Linked DNA regions of Cricetulus griseus. Each later gene encodes a partner of the first gene's protein in a complex. Links are inferred from orthologs where the notes say so. Each region holds a gene or a part of one and is shown on either strand. Other genes may lie near its edges.

Evidence for each region. Proteins that work in one complex are often made in the same cells at the same time.
Region 2: Gas8 (region 1) and Ccdc153 share a complex: the UniProt entries of both Homo sapiens proteins name them as parts of the nexin-dynein regulatory complex. The link is inferred for Cricetulus griseus from reciprocal best matches to the Homo sapiens genes DRC4 and DRC12.

The regions. Positions count from the first base shown.
Region 1 is NC_048596.1:200,177,099-200,180,747, forward strand, and holds part of Gas8 (dynein regulatory complex subunit 4), read left to right. Parts: intron 1-256; exon of another isoform or gene 257-302; coding exon 303-500; intron 501-1,335; coding exon 1,336-1,542; intron 1,543-2,838; coding exon 2,839-2,893; intron 2,894-3,649. UniProt on the Homo sapiens protein: Component of the nexin-dynein regulatory complex (N-DRC), a key regulator of ciliary/flagellar motility which maintains the alignment and integrity of the distal axoneme and regulates microtubule sliding in motile axonemes.
Region 2 is NC_048597.1:155,930,789-155,935,104, forward strand, and holds the end of Ccdc153 (coiled-coil domain-containing protein 153), read left to right. Parts: coding exon 1-5; intron 6-460; coding exon 461-553; intron 554-2,481; coding exon 2,482-2,612; intron 2,613-3,596; coding exon 3,597-3,725; 3' UTR 3,726-3,782; downstream 3,783-4,316. UniProt on the Homo sapiens protein: Component of the nexin-dynein regulatory complex (N-DRC), a key regulator of ciliary/flagellar motility which maintains the alignment and integrity of the distal axoneme and regulates microtubule sliding in motile axonemes.

The DNA of each region.
Region 1 (3,649 bases):
CACAGAGATCCACCTGCCTCTGTCTCCCGAGTACTGCGATTAAAGGCATGTGTCATCATTGCCCGGCTTGAGAAATTTCTTAAAAGAATCCAGGAGTTTCTGAACAGATAAAATTGTTTTGTAATTCTTTGCCAACTTTGAGAGACTTTTGCTATTTACTGTCTCTGGAGCCTTCCTGCTTTGTATTTTAACTTTTGTAAAATGGCCCCTCCCTTTTTCTTCCCTGCTTCCCTTGGTCCACACACTGTGATGGTAGATGGGCTCCTGCAGGGTACCTCATTTGATGCCCTGTGCCTGGTCAGGTCGAGGAACATGTTTCGCGTATCCGGGAAGAGCTGGACCGAGAACGAGAGGAGCGCAACTACTTTCAGTTAGAACGTGACAAAATCCACACCTTCTGGGAGATAACAAGAAGGCAGCTGGAGGAAAAGAAGGCTGAGCTTCGAAACAAAGACCGTGAGATGGAGGAGGCAGAGGAGAGGCACCAGGTGGAGATTAAGGTGAGTGGAGTTGGTCTGTCTGTCTCCACCAGAGTCATGGTGCAGCAGCACAGGAAGGAGGCTGGGTGGGGACATTTTCTGTTCTTCTTTGGAAATAGACTCCTTTGCTTATGTTCTTTGTACTGTGAACAAGAGGCAATTTTTCAAAAAGAGTCCAAGGAAGTTTGCAAAGGTGATTTGGCTGTGTCGTTTGTCACCACATTGATCACCAGGGTTGATTCTGTTGACTAACCTGGACTAGGTGAGTATCCAAAGCCTCCTGCATGGCTACATGCGTGGTCTGTGGAAGAGGACCACTTACTCTGATGAAAGAAGACTGTGGTAAGGTCTAAGTGCAAGTGTGCCAAGAACTGCTATGAATTCAGCCAAGCAAAATTGGAAAGTATTTAAAGCATAGAGCTAGGCATGGTGGTACATGCCTGTAATCCCAGCATTTGGGAGGTAGATGTAAGAGGACCAGGAGTTCAAGGTCAACTTTAGTTATGTAAATAGTTTGAGGTCAGCCTGGGCTATGGGAGACCCTGTTTCAAAACAAACAAGAATATGAGGTTTTAATTTTTATTCAAATTGTTTTATAACTGAATGACCTGCCACAGTGTCCACCGTATTCCCGTTAGAACCTCCCAACAGTCTCTGAAGAGGACAAGGTAAAGCAGTCTCATTCTAGTAGCAGGAAAGACCCTGCAAGTTCTGAGTATTTCATTTGCAGCCTCTGTGAATGGCAGGAGTATGAGCAGGCCGCCCTCTACAGTTCTGCCTCTTAGCTGCCTGTGAGCTGGGCATGCACTGGGGCTTCAGATGAGCATGTGGCACCCCACCCCCACGCTCTTTGCAGGTGTACAAACAGAAAGTAAAGCACCTGTTGTATGAGCACCAGAACAACCTAGCCGAGGTGAAGGCTGAGGGCACTGTGGTCATGAAGCTGGCCCAGAAGGAGCACCGCATGCAGGAGGGTGTACTGAGAAAGGACATGCGGGCACTGAAAGTGGAGCTCAAGGAGCAGGAGCTGGCTAACGAGGTGGTGATAAAGAACCTTCGTCTGGTAGGTACAGCCTGTAGTTTGATGCTATGGAAAAGTGAACCTAGATGCCAGAACTAGGTCTTTGACATCTAGGGATTTGTGTTTTTGTGCAAAAATGATTAGTGGTTTTTAACAAATAAGTTAGCAAAACTTTTATTCAAATTTGTAATATGTAGGGGCAGAAGAAATGGCTTAGCAGTTAAGAGCACTGACTATCCTTCTAAAGACCTGGGTTCAATTCCTAGCACCCATATGGCAGCTCACAACCATCAGTAATTCTAGTTCTAGAGGATCCAACAGCTTCTTCTGAATTCTGTGAACACCCAGGCACACATATTGTATGCATGTAGGCAAAATACCCATACACATAGAATAAAACTCTGAGCTGGCTCAGTGCTTAAGAGTGCTGGTTGCGGCCGGGCGGTGGTGGCCATTGCCTTTAATCCCAGCACTCGGGAGGCAGAGGCAGGCGGATCTCTGTGAGTTCAAGACCAGCCTGGTCTACAAGAGCTAGTTCCAGGACAGCCTCCAAAGCCACAGAGAAACCCTGTCTCAAAAAACCAAAAAAAAAAAAAAAAAAAAAAAAAAAGAAGAAAAAAGAAAAAAGAGTACTGGTTGCTCTTACAGAAGACCCTAGTTCAATTCCCATTACCCATATGGTGATTCACAACTGTATATAACTCCAGTTCTAAAGGTTATGATGTCTTCTTCTCCATAAGCACCAGGCATGCAGATGGTATAGACATAATACTCGATCACATAAAATCAAATAATTAGATAATAAATCTTATTTAAAAATGTAGCATGTAATTGCTCATTAAAATAATCTTTGAGTTGGGTGTGGTAGTGCACAGGAGAAAGAGGCAGAGGCAGGTGGATCTCTGCATTGAAGGCCAGCCTGGTCTACGGAGCGAGTTCCAGGATGGCTAGTGCTAAACAGAGAAACCCTGTCTCAAAAAACCAGAATAATCAGCATCTGTGTGTACTGCTCTAAGCAATAGTGAGGCAGGCTAGCAGGAGCTGTGTAAGGCTCCATGTAGATGTGACTGCTGATTCTGGCTTTGGAAAGGTTGTACAGTGCTCATGTCTGCACTGTCTGTCAGACTCAGAGGTGTCTCCCCTGAAGGAAGTGAGTTATGTATGAAATGTGGAGGTTCTCCAAGCCGTGTCATTGGGCATATTCTATGATATGGCGGTAAGGAGAGTCCAGGAAGTAGCAGCAGCACAGGAGTTACTAAACTGAGTTTTCCCACACATAGTAGGGTCGTGGGCCTCTCTGTCTGGCTTTCTAGTAACACCCCCTTTTCATTTGTACAGAAACATGCTGAGGAGATGACCAAGATGCGAAATGACTTTGAAAGGCAAGTTCGAGGTCAGTTTCGCAGATGTGCAGGGTGTATGTAGGATGCTGTCAGGGAGCCCCTCCCATCACTGCTTAGTAACTTAAGGCACATAAACCATGTTAAAACAGCTCAGTCTCTCTCTCTCTCTGTCTCTGTCTCTCAGTCTCTCTCTCCGTCTCTCTCTCTCTCTTTCTCTCACACACACACAGATAGAGAGAGAGAGACAGACAGACAGACAGGCAGACAGAGGGGAGAAGAAGACAGAAAGTAAATTTTGTTTTGTTTTTTTTGTTTTTGTTTTTTCTCTGTGTATCCTTGGCTGTCCTGCAACTCACTTTGTAAACCAGACTAATCTCGAACTCACAGAGATCCGCCTGCCTCTGCCTTCTGAGTGCCGGGATTAAAGGTGTGAGCCACCATGTCTGGATCAAGAGAGAGAATATTTCTGAAGCCAACAGATTCATTCAGAGCCATAGAAAAACTCATTCCCATGTGAATGTGGCAAGCTGTGATTACCACTCATGTCTCCATTTCTGTCTAAAGCCAGCCGTTAGCAGCACATAGCACTTTGTTCAGGCTCCTGGATTTCAGAGCCTTCCATGCCAGAAGTCCATCTGCTTTATTGACTGAGCCCTATGGTGTGTGGCTGGACAGCCACATAGGCCATGGTTAGTGTGCACTGAGTTAGTGTGGGACACCCACTGCAAACACTGATTATCATAGACAGAGGAAAGGTGATAGTGGCCTATGTGCTGAATATGTCACTTGCAGGAAAAGTTCCACCA
Region 2 (4,316 bases), on another chromosome or scaffold:
TGCAGGTATGATTTGATTGGCCAGGTGGGCAGGAGACAAAGGCATGGAAGAGGACAACCATGAAAATTGGGGAATTCAAGGAAGGGAAATGAAGAGGAATCTAACTGCCATACCCTACCCTCTGCTGTCCCTGCATAGGCAGGGTCCTGAGAACCAAAGACAGATCCCTGGCAGAATGCAGATTACCACATTCTAGAATGTCTAATGCTGCACGCTTGATATCTGTGTGAAACACAATGTAGCCATGGCCCTTTACCTTTATTTTTGGGAGTAAGTGGCAAGAAGGGCCAGGGTCCCCACTTTTAAGCTGATGTGTGGGGTAGGGGGACGTCTGGTTTCCAATCTCCCAAATTTTCAAGGTCTCCCAAGTTTCTTAGTTCTGTTCCTTGAGTGAGACTTTTCCCCACATGCAACCTCATTTCCTTTCTTCATGCCTCTATCCCTATGGTTCCTACCTCAGAGATGAGCCGCCAGCGCCGGGCCCTGCAAGAGGAGTTGAGGACCCGAAGCAAGCAGCTGGAGGAGGAAGTGAGAAGCCTACGGGAGCAGCTAGGTAGTCCCCATCGCTCACTCTTATTCCCCAGGCTCACAAACAATCATGGAAGAGTGGACTTGGGAGGTCCTTCACTTGCTGTCTACAGTCTTCTGGTTGAATTTTAACTAGGGTCACCTTCACCCTAGCTTTTCTCTGAATTGAGAGTTCAGTGGCACAAACCCCTATGTGAGGGGCTGGACTTGGCCTCTCTGGGAGTTTGCTCAGTACTTAAGAGCACTTGTTCTTACAGAGAACCTGAGCCAGCATCCTCATAGTGGCTCACAAACCATCTGTAACCTAAGTGATAGGGGATCTAATTAAAGTCCTCTTCTGACCTCCACAGACACCCACAGGATGCACATACATACATGCAGGCAAAGCACTCATACACATAAAATAACAAAATAAATAACTCAAAAAAATAAAATAAAAAGCCCTCCAAGATAGAAGTAAGGAAAGGTAGGACTCTCACCCCTTTTCCCCCTTTGCTTAATCTCCCCAAACCCAGCAGTTACCCCCTTCACTGCCTTGTCCATCCTAAGCAAAACACATTTCTTGTTAGTTTAGCTGACCTTTGCAACCAAACTACAGAAAACAGTAGACTTAATTTATTTTAGTATCTTCAAACTTGGGCACCTGGTAGAAGGCCTTAAATTACTACTTGTTAAATCAGTGAATATACCAATTAAATAGGAAAACAGGTCAGAAGAGGGCATCAGATCCCCTGGAACTGGAGTTAAAGATGATTTTGAGTCACTGGGAACAAAACCTGGGTGCTCTTAAACACTGGGCATTGCTCCATCCCCTCCTGACTCTTTGTAGTCCTCAAAAAGCCCAAGGTGGCCTCGAACTCACAGTGATCCTCCAGCCTCAGTCTCCTGAGTTGTAGGATTACAGATGTGAGCTACCACATCCAAAATATCTTCAGTTTCCGCTATAAATATTCATGAACTGCTTATACAGGCCAGGGATTCCATCTCTAACATTGGCCTTCTTTCAAATTAAAATTCAACATTTATTGAACACCTGCTACATTAGGTGTTTTGTCATCCATTTTCACATTTAAGAGTCATAGCAAACAAGAGGAACGTATATCATTTTCTCTCCAAAGATAAAGAAGGGGCTAGAGAAAGGGTTCAATGATTATGAACACTGGCTGCTCTTCCTGAGGGCCTGGCTTTGTTCCCAGCACCCACATGGTGACTTACAACCATTGTAATTCCAGTTTCAGGAGATCCAATCCAATGCCCTCATCTGTCCTCCACAGGCACCTGCATACATATACACACATGGGGAGGGGGGGAGGGGAGGGATAAAAGTTTTTTAACAGTTTATTTATTAAGTATAGTGTTCTGCCTGCATGCATGCCTGCACACCAGAAGAGGGCAGCAGATCTCATTATAGATGGTTGTGAGCCACCATGAGGGTGCTAGGAGTTCAACTCAGAACCTCTGGAAGAGCAGCCAGTGCTCTGAGCCATCTCTCCATCCCAATAAAATTATTTTTAAAATCCAGATATAAAATTAAAAATAAAAATATGTATAAAGATAGAGAAACTGCACCACATTAGTTGGCACAAGTCTATAATCCCAACCCTGGGAGATAGAGGGAGGACGATCTGGAGTGCAAGGTTGTCCTTGGCTACATGGGGAGTTTAAGGCCAGTCTGGGCTACATAAGACCCTGTCTTAAACAAAACAAAGCCAAACATTTAAGTCATGGAGACCCAGAGATACTTGTCCCATGCTGTATATGTAACAATCACCAGACTTTGGACCCGTCTCCTGTCTCAAGACCTCTACTCACTCTGCCATACCTCAGTGAGTCCTTATAGACCTGGGGGAAGTTGATGACCCTAAAGTCTGTAATGACTCTGTCAAGGTTGGTTACTGCTCTTGGTGTAGTGTCACCATCCTGTCCTCTTTATCTTTCTGCCCTGCACCCTAGAAACATGCCAAAAGGAGGCTAAGACAGCAAGGGAAGAGGCTGAGCAAGCCCTCAGAGAGCAAGATGAAACCCTGTCTCAGCTTCGTGCCCACGTGGCAAACATGGAGGCCGAGTATGAAGAAATCTTGCATGTAAGCACCACCCCCTGGAAGCCATCTTCTCAGGATCCCATAACCCTCCATCCCTATGCTCCCAACTAGTGTGATGACCCACAACCCAAGGGAGCCATCTAAGTATAAACAGAAGATACAACCATTGACAGAGCCAGTGACTTATAATCCCAGTACTTGGGTGGCTAAGGCAGGAAGATTTCAAGTTCAAGGTCAACACTGGCTACAATGTGCTTGCTATATAGCTGCTACATAGTGAGACCTAGACCAAAATAATCAGGGCCTGTGAGTATAGGTCAATGGTAGAGCTCTCACTAGTATGCAAGGCCATGGGTTCAACCTTCCCAAAAGAGGGGAGGGGAGGGGAGCAGGAAGAGGAATGGGGAGGAGGAGGAGCAGGGAACAAAAGGAGTAGCACAGGTTTGTAATCCTACTATTCAGGAGGCTGAGGCAGGAGGATCATAGGTTCAATCAAGACCAACCTAGGTACAGAGTTCAAGGTCAGTCTAGGCAGTATAGTAAGAGATTCCACCTCAAAATAAAAGGTAAAAAGAGGGTTTGATGGACAGCTCAGTGGACAGGGTGCTTGTCTAGCATGTATGAGGCCTTAGTTCCATCCTGAGTGCTGAAGAGAGAGAGAATAATGGGCAGCCAGGAAAGGTAGCTCATGCTTGCAATTCAGTACTTTGGGAAACTGAGGCAGGAGAATTCTGAGTTCAAAGCCAGCCAGGATACAAAGCAAGGGTATCTTACAGAAGAAAGGAAGGAGGGAGGAAAGGAAAGAAGGAAGGAAGGAAGGAAGGAAGGAAGGAAGGAAACGAGAAGGAAAGGAAAGGAAAGGAAAGGAAAAGGAAGAAGGGAAGGAAAGGGAAAGGAAGGAAGGGAAGGGAAGGAAAGGGAAGGAAGGGAAGCCATTGGCAAAGAACTATTCCTAACCAAGCTGGGCAACCTAAGGCAACATTCCCCCTTCCCTGTCTCCGGGAACTGAGAGCTTGTTGTTCACAGGGCAGCCTGGACTGTCTCTTGGCCAAGCTGAGAGCTGCCAAGCCTCAGTGGGATGCAGCTGTGCTGAGACTCCACACCAGGCACAAGGAGCAACTACGTCAGTTTGCTCTCAACCCCCTGGAACTTTGAAGCCATTGGCCCCTAATTTCTGAGGCCTAGCAATAAAGCGACTTGGAGTAGAATTCATCAGAAGTGTGGATTGTGGCCTTTAGCATTGAGGAACAGCTCTCGTGGGGACATCTATATTCTGGGTTAACCCCATTGTCCCACTGTTCTAAACACTGAACAATAAGAAATGGAAAAGGTTCTAAACCCTCTCCTACAGAAACTAGATCCCATTCCCTTAAGCCTGGAGCACCTTTGGTTCCTTTAAACTACCATGGCTTATCCTCACTAAGAAAAACACAAAGCCAGATGTCCATGGAAAGACTGCATATATATATATATATATATATATATATATATATATATGTATGTATGTATGTATGTATGTATGTATTTATTTATTTATTTATTTATTTGGACAGTGGCATACTAAGGTGTTCACGTAGAGGCTAGAGGACAACTCCCAGGAATTGGTTCTCTCCTTCTACCAACAGGGTTCTGAGGATTGAACTTGGGTTGTCAGGCTTAGCAGCAAACACCTTTACCAACTGAGCCATCTCACTGGCCCACTGGGAAAGGCTGTAATAGGACATTACAGTGGCCAGGAACCAGCTC